Linked DNA regions of Astyanax mexicanus. The protein of the gene in region 1 purifies or fractionates together with the protein of each later gene. This does not show direct contact. Links are inferred from orthologs where the notes say so. Each region holds a gene or a part of one and is shown on either strand. Other genes may lie near its edges.

Evidence for each region.
Region 2: the proteins of nkx2.1 (region 1) and foxa1 purify together in Homo sapiens (affinity purification with western blotting; 3 studies listed by BioGRID and IntAct, with this or other methods). This does not show direct contact. The link is inferred for Astyanax mexicanus from reciprocal best matches to the Homo sapiens genes NKX2-1 and FOXA1.

Annotation. Positions count from the first base shown.
Region 1 is NC_064421.1:23,803,136-23,814,859, reverse strand, and holds nkx2.1 (homeobox protein Nkx-2.1), read left to right. Parts: upstream 1-5,705; 5' UTR 5,706-6,107; coding exon 6,108-6,477; intron 6,478-7,137; coding exon 7,138-7,811; 3' UTR 7,812-8,287; downstream 8,288-11,724. Other genes in the region: nkx2.9 (NK2 transcription factor related, locus 9), read left to right, coding at 63-550. UniProt on the Homo sapiens protein: Transcription factor that binds and activates the promoter of thyroid specific genes such as thyroglobulin, thyroperoxidase, and thyrotropin receptor. Crucial in the maintenance of the thyroid differentiation phenotype.
Region 2 is NC_064421.1:18,931,599-18,943,754, reverse strand, and holds foxa1 (hepatocyte nuclear factor 3-alpha), read left to right. Parts: upstream 1-5,945; 5' UTR 5,946-6,223; coding exon 6,224-6,295; intron 6,296-7,426; coding exon 7,427-8,674; 3' UTR 8,675-9,215; downstream 9,216-12,156. Other genes in the region: uncharacterized protein ttc6, read right to left, coding at 1-607. UniProt on the Homo sapiens protein: Transcription factor that is involved in embryonic development, establishment of tissue-specific gene expression and regulation of gene expression in differentiated tissues.

The DNA.
Region 1 (11,724 bases):
TTTTATCTCTTTTTATTTATTAATACTTCAAATTAAATGTTTATTGCTTTTTATCTCTTTAGCCTCCGATGAGAGCAACCCCGAGACATCCCCTGACTCTACCGGCAACGGCGAGGAAGCCACGGAAATGGAGCAAAAGAAGAAGAAGCGACGCGTGCTGTTCTCTAAGACACAAACCTACGAGCTGGAACGGCGCTTTCGCCAGCAACGCTACCTGTCTGCGCCAGAGAGGGAGCACCTGGCGCGCGCGCTGCGACTCACGCCCACGCAGGTCAAGATCTGGTTCCAAAACCACAGGTATAAGATGAAGAGAGCACGGACAGAGTGTGGGGTCCAGGAGGCCGGTCAGCCACCGTCTCTACGCAGGGTCATTGTACCGGTTCTGGTTCGGGATGGGAAACCCTATCATACTTGCGTCGCAGAGGCAGAAAAGGGAGTCTGCTCGATCCCGCCCTATGGGCTTCAGAGTTTCCAGCGCATCCAGCCGTTCGCTCTTCTGCCCCAGTACCAGCACTTTACTCAGGACCACAGACCTCACTTCCTCTGGTGAACCCTCCGACATGGATCCAGCGTGCAGGGCGCCTGTTTGGACTATTATAAATGTATAGTGTAAACACTGACTGAGTAAATGCAATTTGCACATATTATATTTTATATTTAGGAACTAGTGTATTTGTTTTCTCATGTTTTCTGTGAAGTTTTGTTAAACTACGTACTGAAAAACTGGCTGTCAGGCCAAATGTGTGTGAATATATATTATAGTAGTTAAGAAGATGATTTATGTTTTTTATAGAAACACGAAATATAAGATAAGAGAATAACTGAAAAACTGGGCATCATATCAGAGTTAGAGTTTTTTTTGTACAAAAAAATAAAAATAAATGTTTTGAACTCCTTATTTTAAGCATTCCTCTCACTCACTATAAAACACTGTTAGAAGTTTGTAAGTAAAAATGAAACCTCTTTAAACAAAACATTCATGCTGGTTTATGGTAATTTTATGGTGTTCGGTGCTTAGTTAAAATGTATGTGGAGAGAACCCACTCCACCAGTGTAGTAGTATTATGTTTTAATATCTAAAAATAATTAAAATAATTTAACAAATAAATGAAATGATTGCTTTAATTCAGACCTCACTTCAGTTACTGTTCTTTTTGGACACATTTGGTTAATCCGGGGCATTGTTATGTACTATTAAAGATTTGATGGTGCTGTTGAAGAGTAAAGTGCCCAGCGAGACGCAAAAGGCTTTTATAATGTTAAGACTTTCACTTCCACCCAGCAGAGAAGAGCAAACACCAATCCTGAGTCGTATTTTAAAACTCAGCATTAGAATAGCAGGTAAACATTGCAGGATTAGGCCTGGACACAGACTAGCTCTTTGACCGGGCAGCTAACTATTTATAAGGATATCAATGTCCATTCTGTAATTCACGTCATGATATATATGGAAGAATTAAAGATAAATAGTATTTTTATTATTTTAATGCAAGCGTCCAAATCATATCGAATAAAATAAAATAATGTATGGAATGCACCCTACAAATGCGAGCTATAACATAAAATAAGGATCTATTGAGATGGCTATGTGTCTGCAATTACATTCTCTCTTCCAGGCTGCTTTAGCCACAAAGCTGTTCGTCATTAATTGTAGAGGTTGTTGCGCATCTTCCGTCACCTGGCCTTTTGTCCTGTCTCAAGCCACCTTGCCCCACATATGGAGGCCGCCGTGCTGGTGACTGGAGCGCTCTGGAGCGCCTTCACCGCTTTTTGTTTGGGTCTCCATGTGAAAAGACCATTGTGCAAGCTCCAAAAGGACCTAGACAAAATCCTCAGTGTTTCAATTCTCATGATGTTTAATCAGTCCTGGGTGACAAATTTATGGGGTTTAAGCACACAATGGTGTTTTAAAACTTGGTGGGCTTGGTGAGAGTCACAAAGACAGGCTTTAAGAGCTTTCTGTAAAGAGAGAATGTGAGAAAGAGGGGGATTATATTGATAGGATGTGACTTTCACTTACATTCTTCTTAATGTATGTTTATAAACAACAAAAGTTAGCAGAAAATGTTTTATAAATCACAGGGGGTATATTAGTGAGCGAAGAGGCTAAAAAAATTAAAGGATAGCTGGGGATATTTTAAATTGGAATACTCATAATTCACTGCTAGACTATTTGAAACATAATAGTTATGCACTTATATTCTTTTTAATCATATAATTTAAAATACGTGCACAAGGGAATGACAACTATATAACCAGTACTGTGTAGTTTATAAAATAGCTAAATGTATTGTGTATAAAAGTGCTGGTTGTCAGATTTGTCTTTTTCAGCATTTATCTAATCTGAATTGATATGCATCAGGCCTCAGAGCCTCTTAAAACGACGTTACACAGTGTGTTTGAAAACCCATTAAGAGTTTTACTATATTTTTGTGATGAAACATTTTTGTCTCCAATGTACCAGCATGATTACATCATCAACCTCTCATAAACATATAACATTTGGGAGTAAATAAACTATTTGAAAGCTCTGGAATATTCATTTAAATGTTAAGAAATCTAAGGCAATGGACACGTCGTGGGTTGAGGCTTAACGCGCCATTGGCTCCATCTTGAGGTCAGTCTTTTTTGCTTGGTTTCTACTGATACAGGGTTAAGAAGTACTAGAGTCCCTAGTGACACCCTTCCCAAAGAAATTGCACAATATTGTCCACTAGGTGTCAGGCCTGCACTGTGATTCTTCGTGTACAGGGGCAATGGATAATCAGTTCTGTCAGAGCTTTTGAAGAGACGCAAACAGGCAACGATTTCCTTATTACTATTTCCATCACACATTCTTCTCTGTCTCCTAAGACACAAGTGATGAAGAGTGTAGAGCTCATTTGGTAATTTTATACATTTAGATCCACTGATCAGAAATGTAAAGCTCACCCTACTGTCGTTCATGAACCGACATACAATAAACCATGGGTTTAGATTGAAACAAAAGCTTACATGTGCCCAAATACAGCGTTTGTCGTTGTGTTTTTTCCAAGGGACAAGTGAAAGCATTCTGTCTAATTATAGTTAATTGACCATGATAGCCGTGCTCCAGCACAAAGGATTCTGCCTGATGTAGATAATTAAAAAGGCTTTTGAATACTGGCTTAAGGAGGCCCAGGACTTCGAAGGAACGACGTTATGAGTCTAATTGTTATAATTGCTTGTGCGAAGTACACTTCATTACCACCGCGAGGTGCCAAGGTGTCTTCACCTTCTACCAGGCCCAACAGATACTGCCACAAACAAACTAAATTAAACTGCCACTACAACTGTGTGGCAGCTGGAGTTAACATAAGCGAAGCAAAAAAAGCATAAAAACGATCGAGAACTGGTTAAAATTGTGAAGAGTTGTTTGTGTTAAACTAAACCGATAGTAAATTAATGTAAACGTAGAAAGAAGCGCTGTGGGACTGACCTTGCTGACGTTTGTTCAAGATATAACCACCAGAAGACGCTGTCTACCCTCAAGTCAAAACAATAAAAGAGAGCCAGAGAAAGCGGGAGGGAGGGGGCTAAAGCTTTATATTTTTACATGCCCTATCTGGCGGCAATTTAATTAAACTGCTATCATTTTAATGTGGTTGCAGGGGCTGCAGACCAGGCTCAAAGATTGAGATTTACACGTTACGGATAAGCAATATTTTTAATTCTGCTTAATTTTTCGTCAGCCTGTAGTGAAACCTAATGAAGAATCGCATGCGCTTTACATTACATGATTAAAGCGGGTAGTCTGTCAGATTGATAGTATTGTTTCAAAGATATTTTTGTATGCATATTTTTTTTATATTTAAATGTGGTTGCCTGACATCACCGGTTGTCGCCCGATCGATTTCCATTTAGAAATAAATCTAAATTAATAGAAACTGTCATGCCATAATACCACAATCTTTTACACATACTCTGAATGAATACAAAATACTGCTCGAACATGTATTACTAACAATCGCCATAATATTGTTAATAAAACATTTGTTGTGTTAATATTTATGCACTAACGCTAACTCTTGTTTTCCGCTACGTAGGGTTATGTGAACATTTCTAAATGTTTTTAAACAGTAATTTTATTAAGCAATCAACACACACTCAGCTCCAGATTCACTCTACACCACATTTGCTTACTGGTTGTGTTAAAGGTTGTATTACTCTCGTGTATGTAAATCACCTGTTTGAACAGGAGGGAGTAATTTCAGATTTACGATTCTGCTTACCTTACGGTAAGTTACCGATCACATCTAACACAATCCACCTGGCTGGTAGTTTATTAATAAAATAATAACACTTATAGAAACGAAAAATAATGTGAAAATAACTATTGGAAGAGTAGAAAACCCTGACATTTGCACATAGCAAACAGACAAACAATAAAGAAATAGTTTATTTGCAAAAAAAACACATAAAGGTACTTTTAAGGTATGCACTTAGCGCTCATCAGCTGTTGAAAATGAACTTTTCACATTAACTGCTATACAAATTGTTATAGGTCTAAATAAAACAACAACAACGATAATAATAATAATAATAATAATAATAATAATAATAATAATAGTAATAGTAATAGTAATAATAATAATAATAATAATAATAATAATAATAATAATAATAATAATAATAGTAGTAGTAGCAACGGAAATACACAATAATGTACACAATAATAAATAATTATTTGACATTATTATTATTATTATTATTATTATTACCACCACTAATAATAATAATAATAATAATAATAATAATAATGATTGTAGCAGCAACGAAAAAGTCCACATAATTTACACAGTAATAAAGCATTATTTGATATATTCTTCCTCTTATTATTATTATTATTATTATTAGTAGTAGTAGTAGTAGTAGTAGTAGTAGTAGAAGTAGTAGTAGTAGTAGCAGCAGTAGTAATGTTATACTAACCCAACTATATACATGTTTTTATACATATTTAAATAAATATGAAAGATCTAACTGATCCGTTGACCTGTGTTTCTGTAGTTATCAGATATTCCGTGCTGTTCTAAACGGCTGCAAAAATCTGCTGCTTAGTGTCTTAATAACTAATTCAGTACAGAATGTCTCCAGTACAGGAGGCCACATACTGCGACCAGGCGCAGTGAGCGGAGCTTTGTGTGTACCTGCCTGGCGATAAAGAGCTGGAGAGCTGCAGGCTACTTGAGCGCCGTTAACTTTACCTGAGAGCCTCTCCTCCTCCTCCTTCTTCTGTCGAGCGGGTTTCTTTAACACTGCGCGTCTGTGTGGAGTCGATGGGAATTTGGACAACACTCTGCGTACGCCCAATAATGTATCACACAGAAAACCGGAGAGTTAATCATTCACGCAGCCTCTTAACACGCGCATATGTATTTATTTATTTATTATCAGTTAGCGCTCCTTCCTCACTGCAAGGGCACTTTTGCATGTCTGAGTACGATGGGGCAATAATGTAAACACGCCTGCAATCACCACAAGCCTCTTGTGGCCATTAAAAGTCAGGAGTTCAACTCAAGCTTGCCTCTCTGTTTTTTTTTTCTTCTTTCTAACAACTGAGTGGGTTTTCAAAGATTCAAGTCTGCGTGTGCACTTCTCATTAAGAGGGCCCCCCTCATAAACATCACTCCAACCGTCAATATTCCATCCATCACTTTGTTCCCCGACATTACCCCGAGAGCGATAAAGACATTTACACCTTGAAAGTGAAACCAGCACACCTTCACGCGCTGATGGGGTCTCGCATGTGCGCGCGTTTTGCTGGGTTGGGGGGATGGCAGGGGCAGCTCGCGACCACGTAATGGGGCTCTTTGCGTTTGGTGCACAGATGACAGCGTCGCTTTGTATTGTTGCCCTCGCTGCTGCTGATGCCCCGCCTCTGATGGTAGTCTTAAACCTGGCACCCAGCTAAAACAAACGAAAGTCAGCCTCGAGCTCCCACTCAAGCCAATTAAGGCGGACTCCAGGCTCCCTCTTACGTGTCCAGCTCGCTGCACGAAAAGCAACAGGAACCAGAGGAAGCTGGCCAGCGACGAGAAGGGACGGCTTCGCTTTTGCCTTCTAATTTCTTCCCTCGCCAGCACAAAACAATGTCGATGAGCCCCAAACATACGACTCCTTTCTCAGTGTCCGATATCTTGAGTCCTCTTGAGGAGAGCTACAAAAAAGTAAGTATGGAGGGCGGCAACTTGGGTGCTTCTCTCGCCTCGTACAGACAACCGCAAGTCACGCAGGCGACCATGCAGCAGCACCACATGGGCCACAACGGGACGGTGCCCGCCGCCTACCACATGACCGCGGCTGGGGTTTCGCAGCTGTCTCATACGGCCATGGGAGGCTATTGCAACGGGAACCTGGGCAACATGAGCGAGCTGCCCCCGGCTTATCAGGACGGAATGAGGGGCAGCACGACAGCCACCAGCTGGTACGGAACAAACCCTGACCCGCGCTTTTCTACAAGTAAGTGCACTTGAGAACGCATGTCGTCGTCGGCTGATACGACAGGACGCGAGGTGTCACATGCACCTTTTTTGGCACTTTAGGAATTGACTCGGTTTTCACGGAGGCGACTATTTTTCCTTTAGTCAAGCTATTAGGTAGTTTACACTAGTTCAGGAGAACACCTGTATACAGCAGTACAGCTAACCCTTTAGAACAAGCTCCTTTTAGAAAGTATGGCATACGGTCCACATGCACGGTGTCGGGTGAGGTTTACTGCTCACGGCTGTTTTCGCGGAGTTAAAGGAGGCAGGTGTAGTAGCTCAAACAAATCCACTCAGCCCGTTAACGAGCTCTTGAGCGTTGACCCTGCTTAAGGCGAATGTAAGAAAACGGGATGAGCATCACGTATGCATAATTGGCGTAACTGGGCGTAGTGAAAATACCAGAAAGAAAATGAATGGTATTGATTATTACTGATTTTTTTTTAATGATATTTTACTATTATTTTGTCTAATTATCATTATTACTGTTATTATTTTATTATTAATATTGTTTTTGTTGTTATGCTTTGTATATTAAAGTTTTCGTAAAATTATTTAATGTCAAGTATTCTTTATCATCATTACTGTAACATTACAGTATGATCTGCTGTATTTAATTAGTCCTCTTTTCTTTCAGTCTCTCGTTTCATGGGTTCCTCCTCTGGCATGAACATGGGCAGCATGAGCAGCCTGGGCTCTTTGGCGGACGTGGGCAAAGGCATGGGCTCTCTAAGCAGCGCGCCTAGGAGAAAGCGTCGCGTGCTTTTCTCGCAAGCTCAGGTCTACGAGCTGGAGCGGCGTTTCAAGCAGCAGAAGTACCTGTCCGCGCCCGAGAGGGAGCACCTGGCCAGCATGATTCACCTGACCCCAACCCAAGTCAAGATCTGGTTCCAAAATCACCGCTACAAAATGAAGCGGCAGGCCAAAGACAAAGTGTCTCAGCAGCAAATGCAGCAGGAGGGCGGCTCGTGTCAGCAACAGCAGCAACAGTCCCCTCGGAGAGTGGCAGTGCCAGTGCTAGTCAAGGACGGCAAGCCTTGCCAAGGCAGTGGCCACACGCCCAACAGCGCCGTGCAGAATCACCACCACCAGGGAGCCAACGTCATGATCATGTCCAGCAACGGCTCAATGGGGCAGCATCAGAGCCAGCAGGTGGGCAGTGCCGGACAGTCCCCAGATTTGGGGCAGCACGGCGCTAGCCCCCCGTCCCTCCAAACTCAGGTGTCCGGTCTGTCACACCTGAACTCTTCCGGTACTGAGTACGGCGCGGCCTTACCCTGTTCCGCTCTGCTTTATGGCAGGACGTGGTGACGACGGAGTGGACAATAAAATAAAGCAGACAGACAAACGGACTGACAGACAGTAACTGTGCTACCCAGTCTCGGCGTCTACCCTGAACAGGTCAACGAGAAAACTGAAATAATCAGATAGTCATGCGAACAGCGGCTGTTGCCCATTCTCATGCTTGACCCCCTAAATTTTCCTCAGACTGGTGGGGATACAAAAAAAAATACAGGCAACGAGCAACAATTCAGCTCTTTCAGACTGAGAAAAATGAGATGACCTTTCCAGGATGTGCGTCCAAAGATCGCGGAGTAGATGGAATTATTTATAATAGCTTTTAAACGGAGACAATAAGAAACCCACATTCCCGACGGATTAAAGCAAAAAACCTTTTGTCCCCTACAGACGCCTCCTCTCAACCTGACTCTTATAGATTGCAATGTAAGCCGTAGCTTGTACATTTCTGTAAAATGGTTGAATTAAATACATAGTTTTTAGCGATATGTATATTGTATAAATTTTTATCAATATTGAGGGTTCCATGTTATTTGAGTTCCATTTGTATTTGTACGTTTCATTTCCTTGTAACTTATAGATATTTGACTTAAATGCAGTCATACAATCATATTAATAAATTATGAAAAAAAATCTAATTCCTAACACGCCTTTAGTATAATTGTTTGTCAGAATTTAGCCAATTATGCATAGAATTATACAGTCATAGTGTAGTTATATCATAGCATATTTTGTTTTAAATTTTGAAAAAAAAATGTATACATTTAAGGACCAGTTTTGCTGCAACATTTCTGAAATGCTCTAATTTTTCTAAAGTGTGTGTGCCCCATTTGAGGACAGAGAAAGAGCTAGCTACAAAATGTGAAGTGCGTTTATTTTTATCTCAGCCAAGAAGGTCCCTTTTTTACTGTGTGTAATAGCTCACATTCTCTCTTGCAGAAGAAAATGCCTCAGAATTGGCACCCGCATTATAAGTGCTCACTTACCCCGCAAAAAATCCGCACATTATTTCACGCTCGATACCTTCAGTTATATTTGAAAGCCTTAATCTTGTTTGTCTTTTGCAAAGGTAAACCGAAAGCAGAGCTTTTGTGAAGTCGGCGCCCTTTGGGGTTTCTTTTCTTTTTACCGCGAGCGTTTGTCTGGCCACGAGTGAGTCAGTAAAGGTGAGGTCTCCACTCCTTTAAAAGCTGCGCACATCAAACAAACGCTCCTAAAAGCAAGCTTATCAATCAGATCCCTGACCAAACAGCAGTGCTCCCCTAAATAACAGTGTAAGACAATATACACATAGTCTATCAATACAGTGATGGGGAGAAGCTAGGGGAAAATGCAATGGCCCTCTTGTTTACGTATTGATAAAGTGTATAAACATTATGTATGTGCGCGAGCGCGTGTGTTAGTGAAGAGTAAAGGGCTATGGTAGCCTAGTTAGAAAACCACTTTGGACACACCTGTTTTTTTCCTGATTGTATTTTGATGATCTAAGATTTTTCGAATAAATGTAAACATATTAAATGTAAACATATTCATTAAATACGTAACCAGAATATCTGCTGCAAATTAGACTAAAGAATAGCGTCCGGGAGAAAAACAATCCCACGTTCTATACTGCAAAAGTTCCAGTCAGTATGTTGTATTGTGCATAATTCTAATTTTATGTGGAGAATTGCCTGAAGTATTCTCCAGTGAAGTCTAATTTTCCTTACAAACTTTATGCATTGAGGTTTTAAACAAAGCTCTAAACGAAAAGTCCTGTGCTGTGGTCAATATAATACACCAGTTTCAATCATCTCAACTCATATTTAATGTGTACAAAGGTAAAAAAAAAAAACGTATGCTATACTCGTATGGTTCGTGTAATAATTTGTTTGAATTAGCCTGTTAAAAGATGTTTACATTTCTTGACAGCTCATTAATAGTTGTCGGTGCATTTGCACATTAGGTTCACATTAACTAAAACGAAAGGGACAGCTGATAAATGCTAATTCCCTTAAAGTAGTGGATTGGAGTTTTCCCCTGTTCCATTGTACTCTGGGACTCATACGGAATCCTGGCAGCTGTTTATTCCACCTGGCGGCTTGTTTGTTGACAGCTTAATGTGCTTGCATTTAGATGGCTTTTTAGAGAGGTTAATGTCTTCAATTCTTTTATATGGAGAAAACTCGGTACATTGAAAATTAATTCGGGGAATGTAGAGAAAGAAATTTTTGAACAGTTACAAGCTGTAAGCCTAGGCGGCTCTCCAACCCATTCTCACGTGTCAAAATCAAGAAGCGGCTGAACCTGGTGAACGTATTTGTGAATAATACGGAGGCCCAGCAAGCCACAGCGACCTTGCGTCAGTACTGGAAGGTTTTAATGCGTCCCTGATTGTAATGGCGCATTTCTTTTGAATGAAGGGTCGTTAAATCAGCCGATTCACTTTAAATCAACAGTTCCTCCATCGTTGTCGCGGCCCTAGGAACCTTTTTTTTTATTTAGAGCTATTAAATATTAAATAATTTGTTATTGGCTGAATCTATTCTGCACTTTTAAAATTCTACATTTGCACGGTGGTGCTTGAAATGCACATACTTCATTGAAGGACATCTAATATAAAGTATCTTACACTGTCAGTTCTTATGTTCAAACAGAATATATTTTTTAAAACATCTATATATGTTTTAATTAGTATCACTGTTTTAAACATTTGTACACTTAAAGGAGCTACGCTTTTGTTTCTTCAAAGAAACATGTTTTAAAATAGTGTAAAGAGATACAAACGCTTTACTAGGTGTTTGTTTACCAAATCAAAAGTTCACAATCAGACTCGCACACCGCGCACACACGCGCGCACTACACACACACACACACACTTGATTTCTATGTGATATCGCTTAAAGTACACTTTGTAGCGCATTTGATTTTATGATTTTATATTCGTGGCCTACTTCCTTTTCAGGTGTACTCGATGTATGGTCCATCTTCTCCAATTTGTTTGCAGCGCTGCAAGAGACAAGCCTGATAATTTATTTGATGGATGTTATGGCGACCACTACATTACACTCGTCGAGCCTGGCTCGGATGGCTAGCCAAATACACAAAGAATAATGCATGTTCACTTAAAAACGAAGAATTACCGTTTAACACAATGTGCAAAGGCAGCCATTTTCAACCGTAATCCGGATGCGCCCAGAGATTCTATTAGGTTTTGCTCGAAACTTTCTTGTTGTTGAATCTACCATGAAAGACTGCAGATTACATTTACATGTCTGAAGCTCGGTGTGTGGTCTTTGTGTGAAACTTGTCGCTGTTGAGAATAACTCGTTGGAAGCGTGTGTGCTCTCATTGCTGCCTTTCAACTCATACGATGTACAACTACGGACAGTCCTGGCGGCTTTATGAGCAAAGGTCTCAGTTACTCCTTTCAATTAGACCCTAATCTCAGTGCAATCATGAGAGTTAAGTTGTCACGAGCTTTGCTTTTCTGCTTTACCCTCATTCAGAAGCCCACATTGCAGAACTAACCTTTGTAACCGTTCCTGATCATTTTTTGTCATCTGTTTCACGGTTTTGTGAATACTAAGTTTTAAGGACCACCTGCTGAGACACGAAGAAAGTACTGGGCAACAACAAGCATTTTAATCATGGATTTGAAAAGAGTTAAATACATACTGGCGATTAGGTTTGATAACAGTAGGGCCATGCCTTGAGATATTATTTTGAAATATAGAAATCTAAATAATAAATAATAAATATTAGTGCACAGCTTAGATGATTAACTGAAGTTTGTTCTTTCAAGTGGTGAACTAGTGCAGCGATGAGCCTAATGATGAGTCATACACTGAAAATGAACAGTGAGAGTGTTGAGTGTTGATAGCATTCATTTAAAGCTGTATCTTTTAAAGCACCCAAACGTCATATATATATATATATGTATATA
Region 2 (12,156 bases), about 4.9 Mb from region 1:
TGTGTCCACTTTCCTGCTTCATCATATCTGATACTGCTTTCTCTGTCACCCTCTGGTGGTGGATCTCCTGCAGTCCCCCAGTTGCAATATTTCTGGCCTCCTCTAGTAGTTCAGTGACAGACTTTATACTCCGAATGGTGCTGGTGGCAGAGCTGCTTTTAGAACTACCTGAGCTGTGTTCTTTAGAAGCCCTCTCCTCCTGTTGCCTATCCGTCAGCTGTCTTCTCTTTTTCTCGCTTTCCTTTCTGCATTTTCGTCTATCCTGTTCATACTCATTACGATCCACTGTAATTTCATCAGAGCTAAAGGAGTTCAGCAAACAGCATCTATCCAGAACTGTTAAATACTGACCCTGATTTCTAGGAGCTTGCTTCTTTTCACCTGACAACTGCTCTGAAGGAGTCTGGTTCTTAAAAGCCCCCCCTGCTGTTGAAGGCTTCTCTGATCTAGGCTTAGCAGGAGGCTGAGGCCTTTTGGACAGAGATACTAATCTAGCGGTTCCTGCAAGAGATGCTATAGCTGGCGTCTTCACCGCCTCTTGTCCAGAACCAAGCTTTGGTGAAGTCTTTTCACTTGTGGACACATTTGGATTGATATTTCTTTTCATTTCGGATGTCTTTGAGTTATTATCTGACTGAGTACCTTATTGAAAAAAAGGCTGAATTAAGGAAGGTCTGCTTGAACTTGTAAGGAGCAGGACACAAGTGGCTCCCTGGTGAATATCTGTAGACAGGTACCTTAGGTGTAACCTGAGCAGTTAAATGTGTTGTTTTACATAAGAGGCTTGTCATTTGGTGAAACTCCTGTGGAGAATTTTTAACGCAGTTCTTCGATCAGTTTCTTCATCTTTAGCTGCTCACTGTGTTTAATGTCCTCACTGTTCCTGGCATGTTGTCTGTATGAATACATAATCCATCAAAATAACAATGATGACAAAACGAAACAGTTCAAGAATGTACTATGGGTTGCAATTTAATTGACTGTTTTAGAATTAAATTATTCATTGTCTATAGCACGTGGCAAAAATCACTAGCTAAATAAAAAAATAAATAAAGCGTTTCTGTACTGATGTAAGTGCTATTTGACATCAGTCACAACTTACTTGCTGTATTAAATGTGTTGGACCAACTCTATGCAGACAAAAAAAAAACCCTATCAAACACTGAAACTTTCAATTAAAACGTTTTTGCTTCATTTAGATTCAAAGTAATAATACCAGAAAGAGATTATTTAAAGAATTGTTTTAACAGATAGCATATTATGTACTTACTTTTGACAGAATTCAATGAGTCACAAAACCACAAAATAGTAAAAATAAAAGCTACAATATTAATTAAGTTTTCAAACCTTTAGTGGGAAACATTGGTTTTAAGAATGAAACATTTTATTTAACAGTACAGGCAAGGCAATCTAGCTAAACTGTAACTTGGCTGTTTGATTTTTGTTTTACCTGATTCTTTCTGACTCTTCAGGTAAGTAAAGGAATCAAGGCCAAAATGGCTGTAAGATTGCCACCTTTTCAACAGAATGTTAGGCTTTATGTTGTTTTTAAAGTTGTCGAACGTAAAATACGGTAACATTATTACCGTATTAAAACTTCGCATAAGTATTTTTTAGAACTCAAGGTATGTCTTTATCTCTATATTCAATCGAGTCTAAAGCCTTGAAGTGTCCACTCGATTCCCAAATGACTAGAATAGACGAACCGACTCCTTCTGAAATCGACTCCCAGTCCAACTGTGACGAAACGAGGTCATTTTCGCGGTTCTTTGGTCACGTAAGTCGAGAGTAGTTGTTTATATAATTTTTTTTATTATTTATTTGCCTAAACTAAGCTACATATAAGGGTTAAGATACTTAATTGCAATCTTTAAACGGAAGCTAAGTGCTGTAAAACATGTAATTCTAGGTTTGCTTCACCGTTCACACAGCATGCGTTTGTTGTTTCAACAAATGAAAAAAACACACAAACACAACTGCTAGTTAGCTAGCCTTCTGGTGTTTCCAGCTAACCTTCTGGTGAAGCTAGTCATGATGACATATTTCAAACACTCAGCAGACAGGCCTTTTCACTATTATGTAGCTCTATGGACAAACCTCCTTTTTTTTGGAAAGTTACCAGCTAAGGTAAAGTATGCTTTAATGGCACTGAATTAGCAGAACAAGCAGGGTAACTTAGCTAGCTATCTAATACTGCTTTCATGTGCTTGTCGGTTCATGTTGATGTGGTTTGTGTGGGAGATTTAAATATTATATGTGTTGTGTGTAGATGGATAAAAATTGTGTTAATATTAGAATTAACGTACAAAAGCACATTAATGTTTGATATTTTACATTATTTACATGCTTGGTGACGTTGAAAAAAGTTTAAGTCACAACTGCGGCCTGTGTTGGCTGATACTCTGTATCTGTTCTGTTTCTCATTATTCCTTTCTTTTATACTTACATTTAGGTGGTTATGACTTTAGATGCTGAAATCAGCAGTGTTGAGGGTAAGTTACAATGCAGTGTCCTGTTTGTAACACTTATCTAACTGTGTTTCAGTCTTAATGTACCCATAATTCAAAACAAAATTCTTGCATTCAGAATTTGGGCACAGAGCGTGACATTTAAAATCATTTAACCCTGTGGTGTGAGAGCTAAGTTAAGCTAACTGACATGGTCAGCTAATGCTAGTTGATCTAGCTACTGAGTCACTTTTCAAATTTAAATAAGTGCTACCTTAAATAAATTGGCTCTTACCTTTAACACAGATTTCTCTCAGGACTAGTCGATCATTCTGGGTTTGTCACTGCTGCTTTTGGTTATGTGGGGCTGAAATGTAGCTAATTTTCTGATCCTTTTCAGAGAGAGACTTTATGAAACTTTCCTCCACTCACTCTCTCAGCGCGCGGGCCAGCAGCCCCGTCTCCTAGCAACCAACCAGTAAACCTTGCTGTGGCAACGGGGCGCCGGACACTTAGCTATATGGCAAACCTGTAGAGCACTAAACTGAACTGCTAATGTGTTCAGACTGAAAACACGCACATTAATAACTACACTGGATTATACCTGGAAACTCACACGTTTCCAGTAACTGCTGTTTTATCCCGTTCCCGTTCTGTTTTATCCAGCTCTGAGAAAAAAGAGACCACTTAATGATGATGAGGTTCTTCAATTTTACCAAATTAAAAACCTCTGAAATATAATCAAGAGCAAGATGGATGATCACAAGCCATCAAGCCAAGCTGAAATGCTTGATTTTTTGCACCAGGAGTGGAATAAAGTTATCTAAAAGCAAAAAAATTATGAATATGAATTGTTTTCTTTGCATTATTCGAGGTCATCTTTTTTGATATTACAGTCATTTCTCATTTTCTGCAAATAAATGCTCTAAATGACAATATTTGTATTTGGAATTTGGGAGAAATGTTGTCCATAGTTTATAGAATAAAACAACAATGTTCATTTTACTCAAACATATAAAAAGCAAAATCATAGAAACTGTTTTAGAAACTGAAGTGGTCTCTTAATTTTTTCCAGAGCTGTAGGTTTCAGTGATGGAAAAATATGAGAATGCTTTTTTCTCTCTGTAATGCACACACAATAAGACATTACTATTCTAATATAAAAACTATTAAAAAAAAACGAATTAACTAAACATTTTAATCCTAAACATGATAAAAAAAAAGTTTTCTAAATCACAAAGAATTAGTAAAAAAAAGAGCTTGTAATGCTTTGCCTCATTTGTTCTGTAGTACTCACATGCCCTAATGTCCGAGTTGCAGATTTTTTTTTTTTGTCCAGTGCAGTGGGCAGTGAAGCTACTGTTTCATTGGCTGGTTTATGATCCATTCTAATGGTCAACCTGTCTCAATTAGTGTTATGTGCAAAAAAAGTTTAAAAAAGAACAACATTATGTCTATTGTAATTGAGGCAGGGTCTGTAAGGGTTATGTAGGATTCTGACAATTTTTATTTTGTGGGCGAAATGTCATCCAAGAAATGATATTATTGTAATTCTAACAACATTTAAATGACATTGACATAATGATAATAGAATAGCAATAGAATATCAGAACTAATTATTCATACCCTTTTAAAAACATCAGCATTTTAATTAATCAGAGTTTGGGAAATATTTACTTTTTTTTTTACCGTACTGTAGTTCACACTGTGTGTTTTGAGTCACTGATTGCAGTAATTGATCATTGCATGACTGGCTAAAATACTGTTCACTGTTATATATGTTATATACAAGCATACAAATAAACACAATAGACATCACGATTAGCAAATATTATAAAGATAATGTTAATTTACTGTAAGTCCATAATGTAATCCTGCCTCAGCATTCTAGCTGAGATATCAAATAAGTATTTTACACAGTGGTTAGCTACATTTACCAGTGTGAATTTAACTCTGTGAGTAGGCCTGTCATGAAAACTTTTTGTGAAGGATATATTGTCCTAAACATTATTGCGATTAACAGTATTATTGTCATTTTTAGACCATATCAATGGTATACCGTACTTTTTGAATAAACTTTTAATTAAAACTAGTTTAGGAGAGTAACCTTATTTCTTTGCCTGCCACAGTTACACTTTTTGTGCATGGAGTTATTGCTGCATTGGTCATTGGTGACTAGATAAAATATTGTTCAAGTTAAGTTGCATGTGAACAACCGTGCATTTTAATGACATAACGTTTATCAACAATTAGAAAAAAAAACAGTCACAGCCATATATTGTCATAAATAAGTCGAAAACGTAATTATTGTGATTAATTGGTTTAATTTAATACTAATGGTAAATTAATTGTGTATCGCTTTAACACTGGCAAATTAAGTTTATACAAGCAGCAAGTGAACGGTAAACATAAAAAACTAATCATTCAATGTAAAAAAGAATACAATGTACACAATTTTGTGAACACAACATGAACACAGTTGAGCAGCACAAAAACGTTTGACATGTTTCGTCAGTTTTGTATCACGGTTGCTATTATGCAGCTAAAGCTAAAAGTATTGGAGGTCGAATTAACGTAAATATACTGTATGTTATGTACGGTAAGTTATAATTAATATTGTAGCCTTTGCGCTATAATCAGTTAGCCAGCTGTATGTTTGCAGTGAGGGGAAATTTGGTTCTTCTCAACCTCAGCATGCATGCAAAAAAGAAACGCATAAACAACTTACAAAAAACTAAATACACACAAAACAAAACAACAACAAAAAAAAACCAAAATGAGGCTGTTTAATAGTTCTACATAAAACGCATAAATGATCTGATTGGGCTAGGCTCGCTTTTTCTAAGCTTGAATAGCTAAATGATAATCCACAGAGAGTAAAAAAAGGCCTTCATGGCTCAATCCATGAAATCGTGCCTTTGGTTGTGCGACTCGCCGTGTAGCTCCGGCCCAGCGCAGTGAACCCCCGGTCTCAGGGGGCGGTGATAACACGGTGTAATGTTCTGCCTGAAGAGCCGTTTCATTCCGCCCCGTGGAAAATCGATTTGTGCTGTAATTGTGTGAGAGATCACTCGGAGATAATCCGCTGTAAGTGGATGATGAGCGCTGTTATTCGCTCATTAGCAGGTGTGCAGCTACAGTGGGGAAATGTAAGCCTTGTTTATCCGGGAGAGGGGCGGGATAGTGAGAGCAGTTTTAACTTCTTTATACAACACGACATGTATAAATAACACCACCAGCACCTTTTAACATTTCCTAAAAGAATGTACCTCTGAATCTGGAAAAATCTACAAATCTAAACAATTATTTCATACGATTAGTTATAAAAAAATACATTTTCTGTAGGCGTTTAAAACACGAGCCCCGCAGTAAGAATTTGAAATGCATAATGGAATAGTTTTATTTATTTAAGTATGATATTTCCAAATCATTAAGATTTGTTCGTATATTCGGGAATATATATTACAAAACTTTGCCAAAGTTTTAAAAACAGCCCCACACCTTTCTGTCCGAGGGCATGAGGGATATTTAGATGTTAGTTGAGTGAGGAGAGCGACCTAGGCAAATGAGCCCGTGAAGTGGGCTGTACCGCTCTCTACGTAACAGCGAGGGGAAGATCTCCACAGCCCTCAGCTCACTGCGCTCCCAGCATTTCTTCAGTCCGCCCAAACCGCCGCGCAACCTCCCACCCCTGATTGGCGCACCATTCGCCGGAGCGCTTGGTGAAAACTTCTGTCTGAGAACTGCATGTTGACGACCTGTAGATTTCCACCATAATGCTAGGAGCAGTGAAAATGGAAGGACACGAAACTCCAGACTGGAGTAGTTATTACACCGATGCGCAAGAGGTACGTGTGATGACTTGTGTCTACTGTAATGTAATGTGGGCACTGCAGAATTTAGTCCAGCAGTTTTAAAACAAGCGCAATGCAGATTTTATAGTAAACGCGTTTTTATAGTCAGATTTTACTTCAGTTCTACTTAAACATTAATCTAAAGCCTGGAAATGAAAATAGGTATTTTCCAGTTGTTAGGTTTTCTAATCAGGTCCTACATCACTGGCCGTCCCACTTGGTGGCGGTAGTGATCCCGGTGTGCACTAGTCGTTAGAATAGTACTGTTCTAACTAGAGTACTGCTGAAAATGCGCGTTTGATTTAAAACTGCGTTTTTAAATATTAAATATGCTTTAAAGAATGTAGTATTTTTAATATTAGGCAGATGTATGTGGAGTCATTAAAAATATTTTAAAATATTGTATACGTTTATTTGACAAATATTTAATATAGTTTCAAATTTCTGTGCAGGTTTGGTAAAATTAAATCACTATATCGTTATAAAATAAACTAAAATTAGTTAACATTTTTCACAGATTTTATTTTTAAATGCAGTGAAAATACATGTTATATAAACTCTTAAAAACGATTTCTAGTGGTTTATTATAAAGGCAATAGTTCTATTTAACAATATATCAACTAAACGTTCAAATAATTATATAATGAATAGTTTTATACTTTGTCTGTTAAAATATTTGACATTTTATATTAGGAGATAATTTTATGGGTTTATATGTCTATATCTATTTAAAATGTCTCAACCCGTGACCACAAAATACCAGGTCTTACCTCAGTGAATATACACCTGGTATAAACTATATTAATAACACAGAGAACAGAAACTTTCATTTAATTCTTGTTAAATAATTATAGTACAAAGCAGTCACACTAAAATAATCTGTATGTCATAATGTTCCTCATTATTTCTTAGTATTGTTGTGCTGATTTATTTGTTTCTTTGCTTATTGATTAATTCTGTTCTCTCTAGTAAACAAAGGCTGTACAATAATGTAAAATATGCATATCCTTCACATTTAGTTATTTAAGTATTTACTAAGTTACTATATCACAAAACACTGTTCTTGTTAACGAATATTTATTATGTTTCATTAAATTTATTTATGTTTATTAAATTTCATTTCAGGTGTACTCTCCCATGACAAACAGCAGCATGAACACTGGACTGAGCTCCATGAACAGTATGAACAGTTACATGAGTATGTCTACCAGTGGGAATATGACCTCTAGTTCCTTTAACATGTCTTATGCGAACCCTGCTCTAAGTGCTGGACTAAGCCCGGGGACTATGGCAGGGATGCAGTCGAGTGCAAGCAGCGCAATGAATGGAATGAGTGGCGGGGTATCATCCATGGGCACGGCACTCAGCCCCACCAACATGAATGCGATTTCAGCCCAGCACAGCTCCATGAATGCACTGAACCCCTACTCAAGCATCAGCCCCACTATGAGCCCCATGACATACGCTCAGCCCAACCTCAACAGGGCACGGGACAACAAGACTTTCAGGAGAAGTTATCCTCATGCCAAGCCTCCATACTCCTACATCTCGCTCATCACCATGGCTATCCAGCAGTCACCCAGCAAGATGCTCACACTTAGTGAGATCTACCAGTGGATAATGGATCTTTTTCCATACTACCGTCAAAACCAACAAAGGTGGCAGAACTCCATCAGACACTCACTGTCTTTCAATGACTGTTTTGTCAAAGTGTCTAGGTCGCCCGACAAGCCAGGAAAAGGCTCTTACTGGACCCTGCATCCTGATTCTGGGAATATGTTTGAGAATGGCTGTTACCTACGTAGACAGAAGCGCTTCAAATGTGACAGAAAGGTAGTAGGAAGTGGGAAAGGGCAAGATGGGAGAAAAGACCAGAATGGGTCAAGCTCGCCCTCGAGCGACAACTCAAACACAAAGACCGGGCACATGGACTCCAACTCCATAGCCAACGCAAACCAGTCCTCTAGCCCTCACAGCTTGGAGCACAGAAGCAGTACCACCAACTCTGAACTAAAGAGCAGCGGCCCACAGATACACCCCGTGGCCAGCTCAGCCACATCTCTCTCCTCTATCCCTTTGCCCCCGCACTCTATGGCCCATGAGTCTCAGCTGCACCTAAAGGGAGACCCCCATTACTCTTTCAACCACCCATTTTCCATCAATAATTTAATGTCCTCCTCGGAGCAACAGCACAAACTGGACTTGAAAGCTTACGAACAAGCATTGCAATATTCATCTTATGGCTCAGGTATGTCTTCCAGCCTGCCTCTAGGCAGTGCTTCCATGGCCGGGAGAGCCAGCATGGACCCCTCTGCTTTAGAGGCGTCTTACTACCAAGGTGTGTATTCAAGACCGGTTCTTAACACTTCTTAGTTGCTTCTTTTTTTGTTGTTGCTGTTCTTGTCATTATTTGCTGAACTCAGCCCTTGCTGACAGATAAACTTTATTTTATTTTTGCATGCACCCAGTGCATAAAGGACTGTTACTTTAAAGTATAATAACGTGTATGTGTATAATAAAATATTGTAAAGTGTTCCCCTGAATGATTGTATATCCCACCTATAAATCATTGCTAGTGTATTTAAGGCGATTTTAAGCTTGTAAAATAATGTTGTAATCCCCAAACTTGTAGACCCCTACCTACTATGATGTGTCCGTGTGTTACAATGTGCACGAATGAAGGTCAGTTATGGTCTTGTGGATCGCGCTGCAGGTAAACAAACAAAAAAAAAAGAAAAAGAAAAAAGGTGAAGCACCTCTCTGCTGCAGATGTATTTGGATGTTGTCCTTTTACTCGTTCTTTTGGGTTTTATTTACCTCGTTTGAGAAGAACATTTCAATCCCAATTCTTGTACTGAAGTAAGTTAATCAAACGTGGAAATGCATTACGAATAAAACACGTATTTCTTAATCACGCCAGGCAGTGTTCGTGGCATCTTTATGTTTAGAGCTGACTGCATATTTTGCAGGGGTTTACTGCCTTTAATCGGCGATCACTAATGCGGTTCATTTGTTATCTGTGTAATCTCAAACACAATTACATGTCTGTTATCACTTTTATAACTCAGGCAATGTATAGGTCAATTTAATGTTTTTTTATGGAGTATATTTGTTGAAGTGTTTTGTCGTGTTACCGTTTTTGTGATCAGTTTATCAAAATGTAATTCAGGAATAATTGGAGATGAATTCCAGTTGAAAGTGTGGGATTCAGTTGTGCGTAATTTATTCTAACACTTTATTAAATAAATCTAAAAGAAAAAATAAATATATCTAATACAGAAGTTTGGGGTAAATAATAAGGGGGCACTGTTGGTGTTCGGTGGTCTGTGTGAGGGGCAGCAGTCTCGGCTGAAGCGCTTTGGCTGAGTGTATGTGCTTTGACTGCGTGTTGGTAAAAGACCAAGAGAAAATCCAAGTCTAACACAAACGCAGCCTCAAAGCCCCGCGCCAGAAAAGATCCGATCGCCTTTTAAATGGGATTTTTAACAATATCATAGAGAGGCCAAATCATCTTTTTGTCGAGCGTAACCTACAAGACGGCCACGTGAACCTGAACAGATTTTACTTTGATCATGGTATTTTGTAGACACACATTTTGGCTGACTAACCGTGAAATTCATTTAATTATCATGTAATTGCCCCCCGATGCGTAAATAAAATGAGGGAAATGAAGTGAGGGTGGAGTTCGGACGAACAAGTGAGAGTTTACTCGGCTCGTTTTACATTTTTCTTTATGTATTTAATATTTACACACTTAAAGAACATAAAAAAATTCTAGTGTAATATTCTAAATTACAGCGCGCGTTATTTTGTATTAGGCCGGATTGTTTAGTTGATCATATGATCCTGAAGAAAAGCTAACGAAGACAGAAGAAAAACTGCTCAAGCACTCCTACAACTAATAACGTGTAATAAAAACCCTTAAATGGTAAAACAAAAAAACAAAACAAAAATAAAAGCCAAATCAGTGCAAGGAATAAATAATACATTTAAGAAAAGTGTAAGATTTTATTTCATCTAATCGGCTCGGAATCACATTGTATGAACGCGCTGAGCGGCATAACCGATTTAATACACTATTTTACTCATTACCCTATTCTAAATGAATTTGAACATTTTCAATATAGATTTTAAACTGTATGATTTATTTATTTATTTATTTTTCCACAGATCATTTACGGACAGTGACCAGTCCCTCTAAATTAATGGCAAAAAAAACAGAATAATTTAGGTAAAATGCTGTAATAGTATTAGATTTTGCAGATTTCTTTTTTATAAAACTATGTTTTTAGTGGATAACATTTGAAGTGTTATAAAGTGAGCCTGTGCGGAGCAGAGTTAGTAGTCTATAACACAGTAAACCCGGCTCTGCTTTTCTGATATAGGCTTTTATATGTATGAGGATGCTCTTGATTAATCAATTAATTTAAATTACAGTAAGAATAATCAAATAGTATGTAAGGTGAATTAAATTGGTGTTGTTGGAGATGATAAACTGAGCTGGATTTACTGAAACAATTTGAACACGGAGGTCATTGTAAAATACAGATTGAGAGACGCGCTGACAGCTTTCTGATCAGAGATGAGCTTAATAATAAGATGGTTTTGGAAAACTGGCCCTTAGTCTGTCCCTCACTCTGTCTGTCTGTGTATATTTGAATTGAAGTGTTTTACAGCAATAGGGATAGGAGTGGAAATGAAACTGCTTAAGAAATAGCTTTGAATTACCGTAGTTCATAGATTAATAATATACAAACTCTAGCGTATAATACAAATTATAAACTAAATTATTGGCATATCTAATTGTAGTTTATAATCAAATTGTAGTACGATACTATCAAAAATGTGGAGTATGAAAATAATAATATAAGAATGATTACAAAAAATATTACTAATATTATTATTATTATTGTTATTATTATTATTAGTTTGTGATATTTAAGTGTAGTGTAATAAGTACAATAATATTGTGGTATAGATATGTTTATTGTTTGTTTTTCTTGATAATTACACATCTAGGTCAGGTCTTACTTTTTCACCCGATTAGATGTAGTTGGAATTCTTTTAAAAGCTTCAGTATGGACTATGGGTTCTCCTGCTCCACGAGGCCGATGGGTCTTCATTAATGTGTAACATATGTCAGCAACAGCCAGTGTCCAGCCCAGAGACTCCACCAGCGCCCTGTTTCTCAACTTATGCGGCGTTTTTGCCACCCCATCAAAAGCTCTGGCTCTCTCTTCGGCCTTATGGACAGAAATGTGTTGAACAATGCGCAGAGCCCTTTACTTCAAAAGCGGCCATGAGCGGCCTCGCCGTGGACCTTTCTTCCCCGGCCTTTCATTCCGAGTTTAGAAAGCCACTACAGGGCCAAGGCGCTCCTAATACCTTTTGATGGGGATTGAATTAATTATCTCCAATAACACAATTGTGCTTGGCCAACGAAAAGAGCAAAGCATTAGCCCTCCAGAATCACACACACACACGAAAGAAAGGCGCTTTCAAAGGGCAAGAGAGAAGAGGGAGAGATCTCTATCCGAAATCAGCTTTAGAAGCAGCTGGTTTTCCATTAAAAATGATACGGGAGAAGTTTATTAGGGCTTTGTAGCCCCCTAATATGCATCAGCCGTGTCAGGTTGGTGGTCTCCGAGCTGCCCTACTTGAGCTCTGTGTTTTCTGTCTTCATTAGCTTCTCTGAAATTCTCTGAAAGTGCCAGTTGGGGTGGGTTTACGCGGTGGGGTCTGGAAAAAAAAACATCAAGGGAAAATATTGCTAATATATTTTGTTAAAAATAATTTATAAGAGGCCTAATTATGTATATATATATTAAGCTGAAGGATGCTGCAATGAAGGATTC